Arabidopsis thaliana: one gene and its partner. The protein of the gene in region 2 interacts with the protein of the main gene of each other region in a biochemical or structural test. Each region holds a gene or a part of one and is shown on either strand. Other genes may lie near its edges. The genes, in order: GH9A1 and CEV1.

The links.
Region 1: the proteins of CEV1 (region 2) and GH9A1 form a complex in vitro, tested with the Arabidopsis thaliana proteins (one study listed by BioGRID).

The regions. Positions count from the first base shown.
Region 1 is NC_003076.8:20,194,944-20,205,344, forward strand, and holds GH9A1 (glycosyl hydrolase 9A1), read right to left. Parts: upstream 5,526-10,401; 5' UTR 5,226-5,525; coding exon 4,853-5,225; intron 4,775-4,852; coding exon 4,464-4,774; intron 4,391-4,463; coding exon 3,926-4,390; intron 3,810-3,925; coding exon 3,674-3,809; intron 3,573-3,673; coding exon 3,400-3,572; intron 3,230-3,399; coding exon 2,822-3,229; 3' UTR 2,448-2,821; downstream 1-2,447. Other genes in the region: AT5G49710 (RING finger protein), read left to right, coding at 618-854, 1,048-1,138, 1,214-1,374, 1,462-1,489, 1,956-2,064, 2,164-2,245; FRO6 (ferric reduction oxidase 6), read right to left, coding at 6,412-6,581, 6,784-7,231, 7,314-7,569, 7,650-7,929, 8,015-8,342, 8,515-8,749, 8,836-9,033, 9,122-9,218 and 1 more. UniProt on the Arabidopsis thaliana protein: Required for cellulose microfibril formation. Involved in cell wall assembly during cell elongation and cell plate maturation in cytokinesis. Required for secondary cell wall formation in the developing xylem.
Region 2 is NC_003076.8:1,527,839-1,540,634, forward strand, and holds CEV1 (Cellulose synthase family protein), read right to left. Parts: upstream 7,721-12,796; 5' UTR 7,410-7,720; intron 7,300-7,409; 5' UTR 7,253-7,299; coding exon 7,229-7,252; intron 7,057-7,228; coding exon 6,861-7,056; intron 6,743-6,860; coding exon 6,537-6,742; intron 6,444-6,536; coding exon 6,341-6,443; intron 6,229-6,340; coding exon 6,051-6,228; intron 5,943-6,050; coding exon 5,676-5,942; intron 5,576-5,675; coding exon 5,230-5,575; intron 5,150-5,229; coding exon 5,012-5,149; intron 4,924-5,011; coding exon 4,798-4,923; intron 4,717-4,797; coding exon 4,504-4,716; intron 4,378-4,503; coding exon 4,116-4,377; intron 3,953-4,115; coding exon 3,750-3,952; intron 3,654-3,749; coding exon 3,303-3,653; intron 3,148-3,302; coding exon 2,563-3,147; 3' UTR 2,294-2,562; downstream 1-2,293. Other genes in the region: RUL1 (Leucine-rich repeat protein kinase family protein), read left to right, coding at 162-1,461, 1,557-2,179; AT5G05180 (myosin heavy chain, striated protein), read left to right, coding at 9,086-9,158, 9,255-10,480. UniProt on the Arabidopsis thaliana protein: Catalytic subunit of cellulose synthase terminal complexes ('rosettes'), required for beta-1,4-glucan microfibril crystallization, a major mechanism of the cell wall formation. Involved in the primary cell wall formation, especially in roots.

The DNA of each region.
Region 1 (10,401 bases), about 19 Mb from region 2:
TGAAAATCTAAAGTAAACTAAATGATCAAAATTAAATAAGGATGACTTAATACGTGTAATCCATAATGATCAAATTGATTGGGGAATATTAATGAATATAATCATAGTTGGTCCTTCAAAAAAAAAATCCAAAAATTCACCTCAAGCCTCCAAAGTTCCAAACCCATGTAGATGTCTCTCAACAAACCCAACCCACGAAACAAAAAGATAAAAATCTCAAAGCCCGACCCAATTTATTCGATAAGACAAGAAAACAAGTGTTATTATTTCTTCTGCTTTCTCAATTATGGTCTCTGTCCAAAAAGATTATACTATAGTAATAGTTTTGTGAAGCTTTTTTTAATAGCATAGCAATTCGTAGAAGAAAGAACAACCAAATGTCAAAAATCTTGTTTTAAAAACCAATTAGTTTCACGTCACAGCTCACACATAATAAAACAAAACTCCATTTTTTTTTTATAACGTGAAAAACAAAACAAAACAAAACAAAGGAAGAGAATTTGCGCGACAACAACGATCGATCAGTCGTCGTCTTCTCAGATCTTGTTCTTCAAAGGATTCTATGCCGCAAGAGCTTCGATTGTATCCTCTCTGAGGATTGGGTAATACCCAATACCATGGATAACAATAGCGAGCGCAAAGGAAAACGAATCGATAAGGATAATATTCGTGTCAAGCGGAAAACTTTGCAAGCTTTGCTCAATGATTGCCAGAGAGCCCTCGAGTTATTAAACTTAGCCGAAGTCAGTTCTGAAGACGATGAAGATGATAAAAGCACCGGCGAGGGAAGTGGGTCACAAGAGAGCAGGGGAGAAGTTTCTTCTTCCGATCGAGAAGATCCTGAAGCTGATGAAGTAAGTATATGCATCTCTCTGAAGAGGAATTGTGAGGAAAATTTGCTTCAAGCTTTAAAGTTCGGAACTTTTTGTTTATCAAATAAGTGTGCGTTGAATTTTGGTGAATGTGTATACATCAACATTTTATAATGATGCGTCATATGTTTGTAATGATACAATAATGTCATGACTTTCTTCTTCCTTGTTTCAGTTATATGATCTCATCAAATCCAGGGTTGAATGTGATGACTTCCTTGAAAAGATTGAGTCAGCCCAGGTTTCAGCGCCGCAACATCTTGCTGGTGAGGACTATAATGTTTTTTTTAAGCCTGTTTGCTCATTGGTTGTATAGATGATTGTGATTTCTGGTGTTTTAGAAGATAGTAGCTCTTGGGATGTAGTTAGTGAAGATGATCTTTGGGATGATGAAACCATGGCTCAAAGGGAAGAAGATTATGTCCTTGTTAGAGAAGAAGATATAGCAGAGGGCATTGCATGTTTCATGGCTACTTATTTACAATCACTTAAGCAGACAAAGGTATCTAAAGTCTTAACTTTCGTTATAATTTGTTCATTGTATATCAGCCTTTCATTTGAGTTTATACAAGTTGCCATCATTGTGCAGGACTTGACTCCTGAGCAGCTTCAGAAAGGTATTCTCGACTCTTCTGTCAACCTTCAAATGCTGTGTATCTCAATGATAAGTAGACATAATAGTTGGCTGTAACATAATAGCCACGTCACTGTTGCTAACACTCAAATTCAGAACAGATAGATCTTTAGAGGAAATACGGCATTGGACAGACTGGTAAAGGGCATTGATTGTTCTTGGGAATCGGTTTTGGGGTTTGAGAGGGCATAGGAAAGTAGGGGAGGCTCAAGGATTCATCCATAGATTATTCTGTGGTTAGATATGTGTTCTACAATTCAGTAAGAAATAGAGTTTACCGGTTCCAATCTTAAAACTCAACTAGGAAGCTTGTTATTGCGCTGACACAAACAAAGACCATTAAGTCGCCAAGTTATTTTCTTTGATGTTGATTATGTGTGAAGTTGATCAGTGGTGGCATATCAGATTAGTAGTAAAACTGTAACATTAGTGTTTGAATTGTAATGTAGCACTTAGCAGGATGTTCTCAGTGAAGAATAGAAAGGGGAAACTTCGGAAAGCCTGGGATGGAAGTAAGGTTGCTTACAACGTAGCGTCATGGAGCGCAACTGTTATAGGGTATAATATCATCTAGTCATCTTCTACATTGCAAAATCTAATAGTCCCATTGTTTATCGTTCTCACCAAGCATTTTTATTTTGTTCATTTCACCGACAGGATCTATCAAAACCCCGTGATCCTGAGGGTTGCATCAAAGGCCTTTTGGGCGTCATGTCATGTAATATCGAAGCTCGTTTGATTGACGATGACGCCTTCTCGAACACATCTCGCCTGTGTACTGTGATAACAGTTTAATTTGGGTTTCTCCATGATCTCTGTGAATACAACTTCATCATGTATAAAGAATGCCATATGTAATTCCGTTCTTTACTGCAATATTCTTTCTGCATCATCGTTTATATCCATTAAATGAGTAAATGCATGCTAGAATCACGTATTTTAGTAGACTACAGTTGTTATTCCAGGTTGATCTCACACTTGCACAATAAAACATAGTTAAAAGTTTAATACAGTTCATTAAATTGTTTATCAAAGAATACAAGTTTGGTATCAAACATATACAGAGTAAAACGCATAGATATATATGATATCTCACAAGAACAAAACAGCAACCCAAAAAAAGAAAAGAAAGACAATGCTTGTGGTAAAGTAACCCACCCCGTGTTTGTATCTAGTAAAGCCAAATGAAATCCTTAGTAGTTTGGTTATGGCTGACTTGTGTTTAGCTTCTAATCTTCTGGTCTCACACCCAAATCCTTCTTACCTCATTCATTTTTTTTGGCAGCAGCGACAGAATCACACAAGTCTAGCTTTCTCAAGGTTTCCATGGTGCTGGTGGAGGTGGTGGAGTAGGGAACAAAGGAGGAACAGCTGAGAAAATAGTGTTTTTGTCTATCTTACCGGTGGCTTCTTCTTCACCCGATAATGCCACAAGAGCTGCGACTAGACCAGCATTGCCTGCAAGAGTCGGTTCAGTGTAGTTGTAGTTCATACGGACATCACGGTACCCGTCGCGCTTGTCAGGACCAGCAACCATGGCTCCTTCAATCGTGTTTGGGTTTGGTTTCTTGCTGTCTCTCCATTTCCATCCTCCTTTGCAGTTATACTTGACTTTGTTCTTGGGTATCGAAGCTCCTCTGTGATGCACATGTCTTGGGTATTTTGTGCCAAAACCAACGACATAACTCATTTTCCGAGGGTTTTTACCCAGTATATAATCAATCTGCCAAAATACAGCAAGGCCGAGTTAAATCCAATTTAGATGTCAAAATAAAAAATGGAGTTTAAAAAGATCTTCGTACAATCTTGGTTAAAAGTGTCATTTTTGGATCTTATCCATTACTATATCTGAGATTACCATTTCTGTAAAGAGTAAAGGAAAAGAAGCAATACCTGGGATCTAGCAAAGTCACGTAGCACACTTGTCGAATAGAAATTAGGTCCACAGTACCATCCAGGAGTATCAGCAGCATCCAGATAATCACTGTATAGAGTCGCTAAGAAAGCTGCATTTACAGAATATTGCAGCGGCTGTGGAGCTCCATGATTCAACTCTATTAAACCTCCTGCACATACCAAAGATTTCATTTTAGATATCTGAAACAAGAACAAGCCCCACAGTTGGAGTTTTATTAGAGGCAGACATTAAAGCTGGAAGGTAACTAACCATTGGTTCTGTTAAATTTGTTGAAAATAGGCAAGTATGAGCACATGACTATGCTGGTCTGATTGTGGAAGGTCCTTAGAATTTCTTCATATGGATATCCAGGACTCAGAAACAACCTCAACCGGCTCAACAGCAACTAAAATCGCAAAAGGGATTCAAAAGAGTCAAGAGTAGTATGGTTAAGGCAAATGATCAAGAAGACATGAATATCTAAGAAACATAAACACAGCAGGTTGTTATGTGTGGACTGACCTGAGCACCAGCAAGCTTGTTGTCCCAGCTAAATACACCATAGTAAGGGCCACCCCAGAAGGCACCAGCATGCTTGGCCATAGTAGGTTGGGTGATTAGATTGAGATACGTTACATTTCCGGTAGCATAATACATCCAAGCACCACCCCAAATGAACTCATCCCAATACATACTTGAATTATAGAACTTGCTAGATTCCGCAGTGCCTGCACTATATCTCCCTCTCCTCGTCCTTCCAAACTGATACACCACCTTAGCACCATGGACAAGCTTTTTAGAATATTCCTTGTTATCCTTGAATACAATAGATGCTGAAGCCAGAGCAGCTGCCATCTCTGCAGCGAGATCCGAACATCCACCATTACAAGTAGTCACGGGCCTTTTATAGTCCATATCCTCAGGTCGCATCCAACAGTAATGGTCATTAGGATCTGTATTTCCATCATCAGTATTCCCTGATCCAACCTACATTAAACATGTAACGAGTGAACAAACAACTCAATATGAAAGATCTCCTACGAAGGTCATAAACAAGTACCTGTGACACAAGATCATCAATGGAATCAGCAGTACTATTGAAAGTCTTGAGAAAGTAATCAGTTCCCCATTTGATAAGCTCCTTAACATGAGTGAGCTCACCAGCAGCTTCGTATTTAGCACTATATTCAATAACACTCCAGCTCAACATAGTCATAGCATAAGCCATGGGGAAATTGAACTTGATAGCATCACCAGCATCATAATAACCTCCCACCAAATCTTTATAGAAGCTTCCTGTTTCACCTTTCCCATCTTGAAGCCCAGAATTACCTCTCCATGACACGTTATTATGCTTTGGCAATTTCCCAGCTACAACAATCAAAATCAGACTTAGATCTAAAACTCTATATCTAAATTTTATCAGATCTAAGTAGATTCTACACTTACATTTCTGAGCATTGAAGAACTTAAGAGCTTTGTGTAGAGCTATAGTATAATTATCCGGCGGCGGAGTCTTAGGATGATGACGCGGCACAGTTTTAACGATCAAGGTAATGAATCCGGCGAGTAACGCGGCGGCAACAAGAGTACCAACAGTCCAGACGAAGATCTTGCGGCTAACGATAATACAACCGAGATCGACGTACTTCTTCTTCTTCTGCTCCGTTGGACCAAGTAACCAACTCTGCTGCGTCTCATCTAGTGGACGTGAAAGAGCCGCACGATCCAAATCGTTTAAATTCCGACTACGATCATCGTCGGTGGCGGAATCTGCAGTGTTTATCTCCAATGGACCTCCCCATGGATCTCTTCCGTACATGATGATGCTCTCTGATAAAGCAGCAGAGAACAACAACAATGAATCAAAGGTTTGGGATCAGATCTGGAGAAGAGAAGAGAAGAGAGAAAGAAGTAAAAGTGTGTGGAAGTGAAGAAATGTGAAGCTAAAAAGCTCTCTCTAGTCAATAATGTACAAAGACTCTTTGAGAGATCTGGTTTTGGTTTTTTACTCTTTTTTTTTTTTCCTTTTTAAAACTCACTTCAATTATTTTGTTATTATATGTTTTGTTTGGTTTATTTGTACATGTTACGTTACAGCTAACTCTAATTTTGGAATAGTATATTTTTGGCCAACTATGATTGAGCGTTTTGGCCAACTTGTAATCTTGTGTATTTATTTTTCATACAATTAAAATTTGTCGGAGACATTAAAATATTATTTTTTATGCACCGTTTTTTCTAACAAAAAATTGCATATACTTTGTTTACTAGTAAAGCAATGGGCTAATGTCGGGTGGATGGAAAAAGACATCTCCGCTAATAAACTGTCGGTGGGATGATAATTTTATTTTATCCTTTATGATTATGGTGTTTTACACGTCATCATTTCTGGTGGGCTCTAAGTAATGACATAATTTTTAAAAAAAAATTATAACAAGGAAGGTTACTTAAATTCTACTTCTACTTGAAAATGATAGTCTACCACAAAATTTCACTTACATTTGTTAAAATTTAAAACTTATAAGATAAGTGTGTCCGACAAATTGATGGTAGATCAATGACCTAAAAAAAAATTACATCTTGTGGTCATTTTTACGACTCTAATCCCTCACAGAGTAAGTAAGGAGAATTATGAGAATCTAACTTTTAATTTGAAATTAAATACATTCGTAATTATAGAATCTAATCCCTCATATATATATGAATATATCTCTACTTTAAAAAATTCCGAAAATATATGGGCAGCTATGTAATTATAGGACTTATCAGCTTGCATTTAATTAATATTAAATGTCCAATGTAGAAACACCAACAAGTGTAGAACTAGAAACCATAGATGCTCATACATTTGATTTCTACTTTATACATCGAAAACTGAAAGATAAACATACACATATCAACCATAGCTGTTTCCATAGTACATACTGACAGAGATTACCTAAAATATATGCATCAATTTGTCTTCGAATTTCCTTCCATAATGTTCTTTGGCCTTGAAAGCATCGTTAGAGATCGAAACTGTGGCTGTTGAAGTGGAAAAGAGGATGATTCGCCGATCGCCAGATGCTATGTGACCGTATTTCTTTGGCTACGGTCGTCTGAAGAGTCGCTGGACCGCATACTATCACTCCAACATCCACACTCCCCCATTTCCCATTCAATGACTCAAATATCTCTGCAATTACAAAATAAAAATATTACATGAACCAATCAAAGATTTAACTTAACCGAATCGAGCCAAATATCTACACCAAAAGTCGGATTCAAGAACCGAACGAAACCGTGTCAAACCGTTCCGAATGATTTCAGTTTCTATAATTTTATAAATAAAAAAACGAGATAACTGGACTTGACACCGCTAATTTTGTAGTGTATACCTCTAAAGGCCGGTCTGGTGCCATAACGAATAGTGGTGTAATTCTGGACATCTTCTTCTATTGCCAAGCCCTTAAGCTCTGCTGCAGATGGATTATGGGTTTCTTCTCCATTCAAATCTACCTTGTCGTTGCCATTTGCTTCCACTTCACCGGTTTTGTGTTCCCAGCGATGCCAGAAAACAACCACAAGACCTCCAAAAATCAAGACACTTGCAACCATACAACCAACAAATAGAAGTCCCTTGTACCACCACGTTGTTATGTTGTATCTTTTTATGTAAAAGATGTCCAACAATGTGATCATTGAAATAAATCCAATGGTGGATATAATTAGATAGAGTCCAGACCATATGTTATCCCCTGTACCAACTAGTACCGACATAGAACATCCGTTGGTCCGTGGTAGCTTGACAGAAGGATGCACCACCTTGTGAACCATCCCATCTTCCTGTATAACCATGAAACATTAAAGAGTTCAACAAGCTTAGTAAGGCCTATTGCAGCTCCCAAAAGACTTATTTAAGACGTACCAAGCGAGGCTCGGATTGTCGAGTGATATATATGTGAATCTCAAGGTTTAGTTTCTTAGAGAAGAAAGGGCAAATGGAAGGTATGTCAATTGCTGAGAGCAGAGAGAGCTCGTCTGAGTTTTTAATGGCCCATACAACTAAAACCTTACTAGGTAAACAAGCTTTCCCATCTCTTTTACGGTGTAGGATATCGCTTAAGATGGCGAAAAAAGGCGTAATCCCGATTCCTCCTGCTACTAAGACCAGGTTCTCATACCTGCACCCGCAATAAATCTTTCTTGAGTTAAGCTAAAGCTTATGGCATTGAAAAAATTTCAAGTAGACGAAATGCATTACGCTAAATGGTATGGAGATTCATGGCCATAAGGTCCCTCCACACAAGTTGTGATTTTAGGATATGACTGAGGAGAAATGAGCTGATCTTGGTTCTCTGCCTCGTATAGATTTGACAACTGGTCTCTAAGCTTTGCAGTCCATCCACCAAGAACCTTTATGAGAACCGCAACATGATGGTTCCCATCTAGAGGGCTTGAAGAAACACTAAATGGATGCCATTGTAGCCAAGATAGTTCCCTCACTTGAAGAAAGATAAAGCTAAGCGCATTGTATCGCATATCTGATTTTTGCGGTATTGAAGAAGAAAAAAGTCAGTAAATGTTTTAGATTAGAGGTAGAAAACAGAGAATAAACAGAGTTGTTACTTGGTGGTTTTGAAAGGACTAGTTCAAGAGTTCCACAAGGTAAACTCTTTGCAGAGATTACATCAACAGTCCTTCTTGATTGGCAGAACCTCAAGAAGCGGTCTAGAATGAAAAGAAATATTCCTCCAGCAACTATACTAAACATGTAATCACCAACATGAAGTGCCAAGAACACAATAAAGACGATGTATAGTTGATGTGTGTAGAAGAAGAGCTCAAAGTAATTCTTTCTCACGGTGTGAAGCGATGTGACCCACATCAGTAAACCCGCCACTAGACTGATAACTCCGGGTAAGATAGCAATTCCGATAGCATTCCATGAAAATATCTGAGAGGAGTAAGTAGTTGATGATGATGAAACTTTACAATAGAAAATAAGAAGATAAAATTGTGACTTATAGAGTATAGACCTATCTTGAACCGATGATCGACACTATACTATAGTAGATAAACTAGGCTATACTATTATGTCAAGATTCAATGATGTTGTAGGATCTTACAAGCTCTAAAAGTTGACCTTGAATGATCCATCCAACAACATAACAGAGGCCATGTAAGGAGAAGAAAGCCATGGTGATATGACCAAGCCAAACATGATATCTTGTAGCATGTTCAAAAGGGATATCGATAAGACGGAGAAGAATGGAACCTCTCGAGATTGGAAGAAACAAAAAAACCATACACAACAATCCAATCATTCCTAAACGCAGACCCGTTACCTCCAACAGAAGAATACTGAAAATACACACACACAAAACTAATGATTGGAATGAGAAGGAAAAAGACAAAGATGGGAAAAAAAAAGGAAGAGTTTTAAGAACCTTCGATTCTTGGGAAGGACGTGGAAGCGTTCAAGAAGGTCAAGATTCCTCAAGGTATAAGCATAGATAGACCAAAGGAAAAAAACAGAGAAGACCATAATTCCAAGAAACTCAGCTGCAGAAACAACTCCAAATGGTCCATCCACAAGAACAGGGAATGTCCATAGCCTAAACCTCGGGAATTTCGATATCTTCTTCCTTCACAATCATCATGACACACACATTTATGCAAGAACAAAAATTGATACAACCAAAAGAATGCAATTGGGGATATTATTACACGTACTTAGTGAAGACCTTGTCTTCCCCGGAGATAATGAGATAGAGAGAAGCTAAGACAGAGATGACAAGAATCGGACAACTGAAAATCAAGAACATGGTTCCTGCAAATTTAGACAATTAAAGGATGAAATTAGTTACACTTTTTGGACATGTTTCCGTAGAAAGCAAAGCATCTGCTCGTTAATGTAACCTGTGGTGCCTAGGAAAGTCTTGGAGGAGACAAATGTGAGGAAATCATCACCGAGTTGTTCAGGGTACATCATCATAAGAAAAACAACCCAAGTCACAAAAATCATAGACATTACAACTTTCAATATCCATTTCAAAGATGAAGTAATCACAGATGATGATGATGATGAGTCCTTGGACAAAAGAGGGGTTTCATAATCATCCATCTTTATTTGAATTTCCACTTCTCAGTGTTGTGATGAGAAGTTGGCTCAGAAGCAGCATCGGCTTTTAAGGTGGCGTTACTAGAGATAAACTAATAAGATATTCTTAGAAGAGTCAAGTAAAATTTTCTGGACCATTGAGGTTTCTATCATTCTCATTTATGAAAGATTCCTTCGGACAACAATCCTAGTACACAATAAAAAAAACTATAAAAAAAAATGAGAGTGTCATTAACACGTGAGAGTAACGTACTTGGGAGAGAGTGTCACGTTAGGTTGATTTCAACCACAATTAAGGGTAAGGTGAGAGACTGAGAGTACTTACTACTTTAGTATAGATAAGATGGTTATTATGACGACTATGATGGTTATTGGATAAGCTTACATTACCTGAATCTGAACATATAGAATTTCAACATCATTCGGATTAGCTCGAAAGAAACATTATTCGGTTTCCGCGTTCAAGATCCAGCAGAGAGATAAATTTGCAAAGTTTCACTGTTAGATTGTTTCTGGTAAATGACACTATCTAACAATGTGTTACGTTAAACAAGAATAATCGACTATCATGAAGTTGTATCAATCTCGAACACACAAGTTATAATCAGTCCAAGGAAAAACTTAGATGTATATAGTCAAAAAAATTCTTCATTACACTTTTAAGTAACCGAAACAAAATCCAATAACAAATAAAAGTACCACTTAGACTTAGCTACGATTTACATGTCAACAAAAGAACACTAAGAAATTATAATTAAGTCTCATGAAGTTGTATGTGTAGACAAAAAAGAATTATAATCAGGCCTAGAGAGAGTAAAGTTTGATTTCAACCACACTTTAGGGAAGGTGAGAGTATTGACTATTGAGTATGGATAAGATGATTATAATGACG
Region 2 (12,796 bases):
TTCAAACCAACTAATCATTGTTTTTTATCTTATTTGAGCTCACCTCTTCTTTTTGACTCTCTTTACCCACATGAAAACAAACACTAAGAACAAAACTTTCATAGGAAACTCAATTTTCTCTCTTTCTCAGATCATGGTGTGAGTCACCAAATAGCTCAACCATGAATTCTTCTCACACTGCCTTCGTTGCTGCTTCCTTCTTCTTCCTCTTACTCGCCGCAACCGCGGTTTTGGTTTCAGCCGATTTAGCATCAGACGAACAAGCCCTTCTCAACTTTGCAGCATCAGTCCCACATCCACCAAAACTCAACTGGAACAAGAACCTCTCTCTCTGCTCTTCATGGATCGGCATTACTTGTGATGAATCCAACCCCACCAGCCGCGTTGTAGCTGTCCGTCTTCCAGGAGTTGGCCTCTACGGCTCAATCCCTCCTGCCACATTAGGCAAACTAGACGCTCTCAAAGTCCTTAGCCTCAGATCCAACTCTCTCTTTGGAACTTTACCTTCTGATATTCTCTCACTCCCTTCTCTTGAATACCTTTATCTCCAACACAACAACTTCTCCGGCGAACTCACCACTAATTCTTTGCCGTCGATCTCCAAGCAGCTTGTTGTCTTGGACTTGTCTTATAACTCTTTATCTGGTAACATTCCTTCCGGTCTCCGGAACTTGTCTCAGATCACTGTATTGTACCTTCAAAACAACTCTTTTGATGGTCCCATTGATTCTCTTGATCTCCCGAGTGTAAAAGTTGTAAATTTGAGCTATAACAACTTAAGTGGACCCATCCCTGAGCATCTCAAGAAGTCACCGGAATATTCTTTCATCGGAAACTCATTACTATGTGGTCCACCTCTGAATGCATGTTCCGGAGGAGCCATCTCTCCGTCTTCAAATTTGCCTAGACCGTTGACAGAGAATCTCCATCCTGTCCGGAGGAGACAGAGTAAAGCTTATATAATCGCCATTGTAGTCGGATGCTCTGTGGCCGTTCTTTTCCTTGGGATTGTTTTCTTGGTTTGTCTGGTGAAGAAGACGAAGAAAGAAGAAGGAGGCGGTGAAGGAGTGCGAACGCAGATGGGGGGAGTGAATAGCAAGAAACCGCAGGATTTCGGGAGCGGAGTTCAAGATCCAGAGAAGAACAAGCTCTTCTTCTTCGAAAGATGCAATCATAATTTCGATCTTGAGGATCTCTTGAAAGCTTCTGCTGAAGTTCTTGGTAAAGGGAGTTTCGGAACGGCCTACAAGGCCGTGCTTGAGGACACAACCGCAGTGGTGGTGAAACGTTTAAGAGAAGTCGTGGCGAGCAAGAAAGAGTTTGAACAGCAAATGGAGATAGTTGGGAAGATTAACCAGCATTCTAATTTCGTACCACTCCTCGCTTATTACTATTCGAAAGACGAGAAGCTATTGGTCTACAAGTACATGACGAAAGGAAGCTTGTTCGGGATCATGCACGGTGAGTCATAAAGAGACCAAACCCTAACTTTTTTGGTAATGTAAAGCTTGTGTGTGGGTCACGAAAAATTGTTCCTTTTTGGATTTTTTGGACAGGAAACAGAGGAGACAGAGGAGTCGACTGGGAAACGCGGATGAAGATCGCGACAGGGACTTCAAAAGCAATCTCTTACCTTCACTCCTTAAAATTCGTTCACGGAGACATCAAATCATCAAACATACTTCTCACTGAAGACCTTGAGCCATGTCTGTCCGACACATCTTTAGTCACTCTCTTCAACCTTCCAACTCACACACCGCGAACCATTGGCTACAATGCTCCTGAAGTTATTGAGACGAGGAGAGTCAGTCAAAGATCAGACGTTTATAGCTTTGGTGTGGTGATTCTCGAAATGCTAACCGGGAAGACACCTTTAACTCAGCCTGGTCTCGAGGATGAGCGTGTCGTCATTGATCTTCCGAGATGGGTTCGGTCTGTTGTGAGAGAAGAGTGGACTGCAGAGGTTTTCGATGTGGAGCTCTTGAAGTTTCAGAACATTGAAGAGGAGATGGTTCAGATGCTTCAGCTAGCGTTGGCCTGTGTTGCAAGGAATCCAGAATCGAGGCCAAAGATGGAAGAGGTCGCGAGGATGATTGAAGATGTGAGGAGATTGGATCAGTCTCAGCAGTTACAGCAAAACAGAACATCCTCAGAGGCTACTTCCAATGTCTCTGAATGATTCCTCATTCCGACCAAAAGTTTCTTTGATCAATTCTACTTCTATCTTATTACTTTTGAATCCCAGTTAAAAATAATTTCTCTTTGCATCGTAGTTTAGTGCTTATGATCAAACGTAACTGCTTTCACTAATGAAAATTGAAAAATCATAACCACTGCTTTAACTACAGAAACAAAAAAATATTCGCTTTCACTTTAATTATAACTTTCCAAAGTAACTAGAGTAAGATATATTCTACACATAAATTTATGACACCAAGACAGAAGAACGAACAGACAGATACACACAACAAAAGTAAAAAAGTGAACAAATAAAACAATGAAAAATAATTTAAATTCTGTGTTTTTTTTAACCCTCAAAACAGGTAAATATTTGCTCGCTTCTCAACAGTTGATTCCACATTCCAGAATGTCCGGGCCAGTGACTCGGCTAGTGAAGGGATCAATCCTAACCCACAACAACGAGAAGATAGAAGCCAAGAGAACAGACCAGACCACAACAATGGTAGGAGTCCGGTTCTGTCGACCCATCAAACCCTTGAGGAAAGGGTACAAGTGAACAATCACCCAGAAGGCAAAGAACAACTTACCAAAGAGTGGTCCCCATGATTGGTATCCACTGTTGATAGCATAAGAGACTCCTGCAACAACTCCCACTAAGTTTACAATGAGCAGCGTCGTTGGCGGAATCAGAAGTGTTGTCCATTTGAACAAGTAGAGCTCAGCAAAGTCTCCGTCTTCATCTGAAGCTTTTGAGGTAACTGTGAAGTTTGTGTCAATACCGGCAAGGACTTTGAGGATACCTTGAAACACAGCGAATAAATGAGCGGATACTCCACCAATGACCCAAAACTGCTCGTTTCTCCACCATTCGTCTATGCCTACGCCACTCCACCTCATTTCTAGTATACCCGTGGCGAAAATGGAGAGAAAGAGAGACAGAAACCATATACTTGCAATGTTACTAATCTGCAAAAGAGGAACAATAGAACCAGCTGATCAGGATTTGGAACCGTAAATAGATGACAAACACAACATGGTTTCAGTTAAACAGAACGTAATTAAGGTTTGTTCTAGAGATAGAGATAGAGATAGAGATAGATAGACAGAGAGAGGTGTCAAACCTGAGGAATAATAAACTGGTTGGTGAAGAGACAAACGGCTGGCAATGTACAATACATGAGAAGAGGAATGGAGGTGATAGGGTAGATGGTGGTGTTCACATACGCAAACCTCTCAAGAAATTTTAGCCTCCCATTGTAACCATACCATATAGGACAATGCCGACTGAAGAGAATCTCAACTGAACCTAAAGCCCACCTCAGCACTTGGTTCAGACGATCTGAAAGATTGATAGGAGCAGAACCCTTGAAAGCTGGAAGCTTAGGCATGCAGTAAATGGATCGCCATCCACGGGCATGCATTTTGAACCCAGTCAGAATATCTTCTGTCACAGAACCATAGATCCATCCAATCTGAAGAAAGACAGCGGAAAATATAAACAAAGTGAATGCCAAAGTGGATATGTCAGAACAATGCAGATTCATGTAGGAGTTCAAATGAGATTATACCTCCATTCCCCAATCTGACTTATCCTCATAACCACAACTAATGACATGGATAGCCTCTTTGAGAAGGTTTTCTGGAGTTGCTGAAGGAGGAACACCACCATTTTCCATTAGGGTAGAAGCAACAAAAACAGCAGACTGTCCAAATCGCTTCTCCAGGCTCATTTGCGACATTAAGAGCGCCTTTTCATCATCAAAACCAGCACCTAAGTTTCACAAATGCCAAATAGTTAAGACATGATGAGATACCTAGTATGGAAACTATTTAGACAACTGTCAACTATAAATAATCCCCTCCCCTGGATCAATATTTCAAACAGCAACATATGGGTATAACGGAAACCAAAGAAGAAATAAAAACAGTTGTACCTTCAACTCCCTCTTCTATGTCATCGAGGTTGAATACAGGAACAGTTGAGTCAGTATGCCTGCCTGATTTCTTTTTGTCCGACTCTTTCTTAGCTTTGGAATTCTTCTTTCTTGATCCACCACAGAGCTTAGATAAAAGACTTGGCTTCTTGTGTTTTACTTTTATTGGAGGTTCATAACCGTATAATGCTGTTCTGTTGAAAACACATCCAGTTCCGACATATACAGGTCCTTGAATCCCATCTAAACCTCTCAAGTTAATCTGGAAAACATATCATGGAAAAATTACGACAAACTCAAGAAACTGTGAGTTTAATGTATATTCGTGTCTAAAAGCAATTTGAAAGAACAAGAAAATTAGACGCAAGTATAGGTAAGTGTGACTTACATCAAAGAACACGGTATTACGATTAGCATATCTATCGTTCTTATCGATACCATCAAATCTTTGTGGGAACTGAACATAACAAACTTGCTTCCCGAGGTTTGGGTCCATCAGGAAGCACATTGCTTCTCTTAAGGCTTTGCTGTTATTTATGTAATGATCACAATCAAGATTCAAGATGAAAGGTCCATTGGTAAGAACTGCTGAAACTCTCACCTATTCATTTGAAAAGTACCCAGATTAGACTAACAAATTGGTCAGAATGAAGAAGTCAAAAATCCAAGATCAGAAACTTACCAGTGCATTCATAGCACCAGCCTTTTTGTGGTGCTGGAATCCTGGTCGCTTTTCTCGAGAAACATATACCAAACGCGGGAGCTCATTGCCCTCTGCATCAAGTCCACCATTTTGCCCTAAGAAGACCTGCATTCAGCAAATGGTACTTCAATAATGAACTTCTAGAGAGAAAGAGAGAGCATTCTCGATTCCATAGTTAAAACCAATTTCTTACCTGGATCATTCCTGGATGGTCCCTTGTATTATTTCCAGGCCACGGTGTGCCATCTTGCATAACCCACCCTTCTTCAGGACATTTTAGGGCTTTGGAAACAAGTGCATTGATTCGGATTTTAAATTCCTCATATTCCCTCTGAAAGAAAATAAAAGGTCAATATAGCATACACTAAAATCAAAGTGAGGGTGACTAGATGACTAAAACTACAAACTTACCTTCATAGCTCTACGATCTTTGACAAATGATGTCTGAACTTTATCCTTCAAGTAATCTATTTTCGCAGCAAAGTACCATTCTGGTGCACGAGGCTCTATGCTATATTTCTTGCAAAATGGTACCCATTTACGAGCAAACTCTGATGTTTCTGCAAGTGATTCAAATGATAACATAGCAGCACCATCATCAGAAACATAACAGGACACCTTGTCAACTGGGTAGTCAACAGCCAGAATAGAGAGCACTGTGTTGGCTGTCACAAGGGGTGGCTCCTTCAAGGGGTCAACAGTACTCACGAAAATGTCAACAGCAGCTAACTGTGATGGCTCACCTTCACGATCATATCTGTCCCAAAAATTGACCATGATCAAATTAAAATGGGAAACAGTATAGGCAAACAATCCTTTGAGTAATTGCTTCAGAAGAATGGGGAAATAGAACTTACCTTAAAGCAAGCCTGTCGAGGTAGGTTTCACGGTTCACAGGAAACCACTTGGGAAACTGATCCAAAATCCAGGATAAGGCAAACCAGATCTCACATATCACAGAGACCAGCCATAGAGCAAAGGCATTTGGCACTGGGTTTGTTATACGGTAATGCAAGAAGAGACAAAGGATAACAAGCCGCAGCATAATAACCATTCTGTAAGGATTGATCCGTGATGAAGGAATTGAAACTTTCCTTGACAGAGGCTGCCTCGCTTCGTCATTCCTGTACAATAAATAAAGAATTGGAAAATGAGTATCAGGACATTGCTTAATAGGAAAAACGCTCGGTACACCACGACAGAACAAACAAGATTACAAAACAAGAACTCACAGCAGAGCCTCATCTGCTAGGATATCTGTGCTGGCATCAATATCTACTCCACCTCTTTCAGAAGCAGCCTGCGTGCTGACAGGACCAGTATTCTTCTCTTGCTTCATTTTCCAGCCATCAACTCTCTCCTTCCAAGCTACATTCCCGAGTCCAACAGGATCCACAATCCTTCTATTTGCTGCAGCGTGAATGACAACAACAGATTTTATTGTTTAGAGTTTTGACATAAAAGAGAAGCCTAGGTACAAATATATGTGTTGGCGAGAGAGTTAGAAATAAAGGATATTTACGTGATTGATTGACATCTGATGAATAGGGAAGGCGCTTTCCCCCAGCGATAGTAGAAGATACAGAGAGGCGTTCAGGTGAGGCAGCAGAAAACTCTCCTGAAGTCTGTAAATAAGCAAATGACAAAATCAGATTCCAAAACTAAATTGCGTGAGGATGCGAATGCTTAAGAGGGAAGAATGAACAGCAATGCCTTACATCTTGTCTGCTCGTGAGACGAGGAAGATGATTGTGAGAGACCTCTTTATCATACTGGGGTTCCCCCATTTCCTCTCCCTTCCCACGAGTAAGATGCCAACCAAGCATCCGCTCTGAAATTTTCTCCTTCTGAGGGTAGTTGAACTCAACAGTACCTTCATCAGCTAAGCCATCCTCGTCTTTATCACCAGGAATAGCAGGACTACCTAGAATCAGAAATTAGCAAATTGCTATAAATACCAATCTGATCCAAAATTCAAAACATACTGATAAACTATCGATGAACAATGAAGACAGTATACTTCAGAAGGATCAAAAGAGAACCTTTGAGCCTCTTGTATCTGGTTTTGCACTGAGGACAAGATTGATTCCCATCTTTCCTCTCATACTCGTAGCAAGGCCGACAAACTGGGAATGAACAAATATCACAAGCCACAAAACGATCTCCATCAACAGTCTTGCCAACATTGTCACTACAGATCTGGCAAGTCTGCGGAACAATGTTCTTCATCGGCTTTCCCTACAAATCAAGTCGAATCAATGAAGCCAAAATTAGAAACCTCAACAGAAAATTTGAAATCAGATCTCTCCAATACACAATTCAACACCCAAATCAATCAATTTCAGTACATATAATTCCTGATTTCGATAAAGGTAAGTATAATGATGAAGCAAGAGTCAAAAAAGCATACCGCGGTTTCTCCTTCGGATTCCATTTGTCACTTAGTTGCTTCCAACACCGAAACGTCGGAATAGTTCAAATCTGATCGGAATTATCAAAAACAGAAACTACGATTAGATCTGAGGAGATCCGAGTAAAGGAAGTCAAATCTGAGAATGGATCATGAGTGTAAGAAGAGTTAAAAGCTTTACCATGAGATCTGAAGATGGAGTGTGGTGATGTGACTCTCTGAATCTCTCTCAATCTGGATCCAAGCTTTCTTCTCTACAGAGAGATAGTTTATAAGGAAGACGAAGAGGAGAATCTTGGGATGGCTAAGAAGATGCAAAGAGCAAGCTATTTGTCTCCTCTACTCGTCACTCTTCCAGATTTTTAAAATATTAATATATTTGTCACAAATCATAATCCAACCAAGCAACAACCACCACCACCACCGACAACTTCCACAGTCGATTTTTTTCTAGTTACAGTTTTACAGTGGCTGTAAAAAAAGTGAAAAAACGGCCGATAAACCTTTAAAATATCCTTAGAAATATATTATCATCGAATTAGTGACTAAATCAAAATAGTAATTGATATTTGATAGTGATATAACTAAAATAGAAGTGTGAAGAACACAACAAATCACAAGTAGTGGGGTAAAGGATATTCATCGTCACTAACTTTCTTACAGATAAAACTTAAAAAGTATTTGCCGACAAAAATAAAACTTCAAAATATTAATTAATCAACGGATTAGTCCAATGAATAAATCAAAATATATTGATAGTGATGCTTTACTTACTAGTATATCAAAATAGGCTAAAACCAGCGGGCTGAAAAAATAAAGGTCCAACTCTAGTATCATCAAGCCCAACAGAATCGAGAAAATGGGTTTGTTGGACTTTGCAGACAAAATTGGTATATGTTCGGTTTACGTTATTTACGAGAGAAAATTGAATCGAACCGAACCCAATAATTAATAGGTCAAACTTTGATAACTGGTGGTGCATGTGGAGATGTGTGGCCACTAGTGCAGCAAAGAACAGACTGTCAGATAGACAAAAGAAGAAAATGGCAAACATTTGAATCCCAAAGAGCGCCACTTTCTCTTCGCTATCCGACAAATCTTCCCTCCTCTTTGTCGTCCCTTTAAACCTTTCCACCTTCTGCTTCGTAACTCTCGTACCCTAGCAATCCTCTACTTAAACCTTCCTTTGTTTCTCCTTCACTTTTCCTGTAAATCTGCTCTTTTGTTCCCTCGATCATATCAATTTTCAAGGTCAGTGAAATCTCATGTTTATTTGGTCCTATGTGAATCAGATTTCAGGGTTTGATATTTGTTTGTTCCGTTGATGTGTTTTGTAGATCTTATGATCTGAGTTACTTGCTCTGTTTTTCTGAGATTTATGGAGGGTCTTTGTCTATGTTTCTTCACCGTTGCAAATGAGTTATAATTTCTGTTTACATGTAGTGAAAAAAGTTCAGTTCTGTGACATAAGAAAGTCTTAAAATTTACGCAACCCTAGTTTTTTTATTTTCTAAGATTTCAATTAAAGAACATTAGCTTGTCTCTTCATGATAGTTTTCCACTGATTATTATCACAACTTTTTTTTTTGTTAGATATTTTTAATCGAAATTATTGTAGAGATAAATATAAATACGTTTTTTTTTTTTTTGGTCAAAAAATATAAATACGTTTAGTTATAGCTAAATCTTAGGAGTATAAAAAAAAAAAAAGTAAATAAAAATCTTACCAGTTTTTATATCTCGTATATCTTCTGTATTTTTAGGGTTTTTCTGTTACATCATTCTATGTTTACGTTTCTTTGATTTTTTTTTGCTTGATCATTTTTAAGTTGATTCGCTTTTTGTTGTTTAAGTGTAATGGATTTTACAACAGTTGAGGTCCCAGATGAGTGGCCACATAATTCGAATTCCTTTGTGGACATCTCAACAGGTATAACCGTATAATTCATTCATGTCTTATTTTGGTTGTGTGCGTTTCCGTTCAAACGTAGAAATCTTATTAGACATATCAATTGTCAAGTTTCAGATCACAATGGATCTTCACCTCCTGTAACTCCAAAGTCTGATACAGTAGCTTCCAACTTTGACCAAGGAAGTTCTGATGTTTCTGGCAATCATGATTCTAACTCTTCTTATTCCGATTTAGATTCGGACACGGAGGCCTTTTACTCATCTTTTAACCATCACCTCGTATCACCAGGGTCAATGGATAGCCATGACTTATCCCCGGAGAAACAAATGAGTTATGAAGAATTGATGAAGAAATATGTCCAGTGTGAAGAAGAGCTTAGGACTACGAGTTTGAAACTTCAAGAATTTGAGCAAGAGATTGAGAAACTAAAGGAGACCGAGAAAAAAGAATCGGTTGTTCTGTTTGGCGAGTATCTACGTGGTGAGCGAGAAATCGCACAAGGAGAAATTGCGATTAGGGACATAGCTATTGAGACTGAGAGAAAGCGAGTTCTCGAGGTGCAAAGACAGGTGGTTGATTTGGAAACTGAGCTTTCAGACTTAAGTTTCAAATTTGAGCATCTAGTGAATGAGCATGAGGTGAGTAGGGACTGTTTAGATGTGTCATTTTCTGAAATCTCTAAGCTAAGGGAAATGTTGTGTGATTGTCAGCAAAATTTCTCTATTGAGAAAACAAAACTGGTAGATCAGATAAAGCATTCTGAGGCAGAGAAAATGGAGATGCAGAGGAAAGAGGTTGAGTTGCAAGCTGAAATCAGTGCATTGAAGACAGACTTGGCCACACGTGGTGAGCATATTGAAGCATTAAACAAAGATTTCGACAAGCACAAGCTGAGGTACGACATGTTAATGGCAGAGAAAGACGGAGTATGTGCTGAAGTAGACAATCTAAAAGCAGAGATGAGATCAAGAGACATCCAAATTCAGCAAATGGAGGAGCAACTTAACCAGCTGGTCTATAAGCAGACAGAGCTTGTGTCTGAATCAGGAAATGCCAAGAACACTGTTGAGGAACTGAAAGCTGTGGTTAAAGAACTGGAGATTGAAGTAGAGCTGCAGAGTAAGGCCAAGAAAACTGTGGAGGAACTGAGAGCTACGGTCTGGGAAATGGAGAAGCATGCAGAGTTGCAGAGGAATGCGATATCACAAGGAGAGGAAGAGAAACGAGAGGCGATTAGACAGCTTTGTTTCTCTCTGGATCATTACAAAAGCGGATATAAACAGCTTTTGTGGTATCTTTCGGGCAATAACCAGCAACATCAAACAACCATGGTCGTGTGAGTTTCGATTGAATACTCTTATCATTTCTTTAGTCGTTACAGTCTTATGTCTTTCTTTGTCTCGTCATGTTTTTTTATGTTATTCTGAGTTATGTTCTCTCTCAAACTCTTGGACATTAATCTTAAGATTTCTTTAGTAAGAAGCGCAATTTATATGAAATTCTAGCTTCTTTTTTTTTTTGTGCACCTATATGAAATTCTAGCTTGGAAATGCTTTTATATATGTGGCTTTAATTTTGTGTGATTTTATAAAAGTATTTTTGAACTTAGGGTATCTACAGGTGTTTCTGTCTGGAGTTTTTATTTGTGCTTATGTAATAGTGACGTAAAGCCTAAGTAATTAAAAGTGAGAGAGAAAAAGTCAAAAGCCAAACACAAACCTAATCCTCCAATATCTCAACTTGGTTGACTCTCTCAATACAAGGATTGGAGTTAATGTGAAATACTAAGGACTCAATTATTATGGTCCTTGATTTATGATTTTTGTTCAGAAAAATTTAGTGAACACAAAAACAAATTCTTCTCGCCCAAACCAGTGAAGAAATATGAAATCTAAAATTTAAAACTAAATCTGAACCAGAGAAGTAATATTCCCAAAATCAAAGTTGAACGAGTCTGATTTCTATACTGCGTCTATGTATATGCTCCCAGTTCCATTTCTATTTGTGTTGAAACTTTTAAGTATTGGTCAAACAATTTTTGTTTTTTTTTGGGTTTTAACAATTTATAATAAGATCTGACTATCTCAGGATTGGTCATGTTCAACAAGACTTAGTTTCATCTAATCCACATAAAGTAAATAAAAAAAAATCTCAAGTTATAGTTTGATATTATAGGTCTATTACGTAAACTTTCCTCCATATGTAACGATATATGATCGACCGCGTAAAGATGCACGCGCATGCAAATATTTTAATTTGATTGTTTTAGTTTATGCTTTCATGGTAGTATTAAAGTTGTAAATGTGATTGCATGTGTGAGTGTGTGAAAGGACTTTGCAAGACCGCTGGCTACGAACTTTATTAGTTAGATACAACAAATTTATCAATTATCAATCTTAAAAGATAGCTAAAGAAAACGTTACTATGGGCCCTTTTTCTTTCTTTAATTCTTTCATATGGAATCTATTATTAATTAAAGACATGTATTAAAGAATTTCAGGTGTAAAAGAATAGTTTTTTGCTTTGAGGTGTCTATCTTTATTTATAATCGGAAATTTTCAAGTAAAAAGAAATAGACTCTCCAAAGCATAGGTAGAATAATTGAATATTCTTATCAATTAAATCGTCTATAGTAGCCAATTATGATTGCAATCGTTGTGCGAATATAACCAGCATGGTATATATCACAAGTTTTTAGTTAGTGAATTTTTTAGTTATTTCAAGAGCTTGTTCTGTAGAATAAACCAAAAACTAAAAGAAAATCCATTCTATTCAATACCATAACTTCATGTGTTCACGAAACATCATGGGAACACAGTAAATAGAAAAACAAAATCAATTTATAACTATATATGAATGTTGTCAAATGGGAGTTGACCTCCAATATTATCTTTTATACATTTGAAACTTTAATTTTGACTTTTTTTTAGTAAGATAGTTTTTGTTCATGTCCTGAATGTTAGGTAACAGCTAGCGATTTGAAATAGAAATAAACATTTACAAACCATGTAGTGGTCCAAACCATTGACTCAATTAAAGAGTCAACGCATAATCGAATTTGTAATCTGTGAAGAAGAAGACTCGAATGGTATTGAACTTGATTTGATTTGATTCGTTTTGTGAATCGTATCCCGTTAGTCATTGGATTGTGCAGAGAAAACAAATATTGAAGCAACCTCTAATTAAGTCTACAAAGAAATAGGACACCACAACAAAGGTTGACTTTTACAGAATCACAAAGCCAAAACGATAATCTAGAAAGTAGAGAAACTAGACAGCACAAAACGATAAAAGACCGAGTCTGTCGACCATTACCTTAGTTTTTTTTCATATCGTTAAAAAATAATGTGATATACATGTACGTTAATACTTAATATATACTATTTGACTTGAGATAGCCCTACAAAACTTTTATTCATTTATTTCTCACAAGTTCCCTAAAACTTTATGAACCAATTTGAAGATTAATATTTTGTTACGTTGCTATCAATTTCAAATTCTTTGTAGGTGCTATATTTGAAAACTGGTTTCATACCTAAAAAGGTTATGAACCAAAGACTCAACTTGTCTGGTTATAAATAAAAGTGATTGAAAACACTCACACGGCTAGTGAATTCTCATTAGAAAAATGAAAAGTTCGTTAAATTCGACCAGTG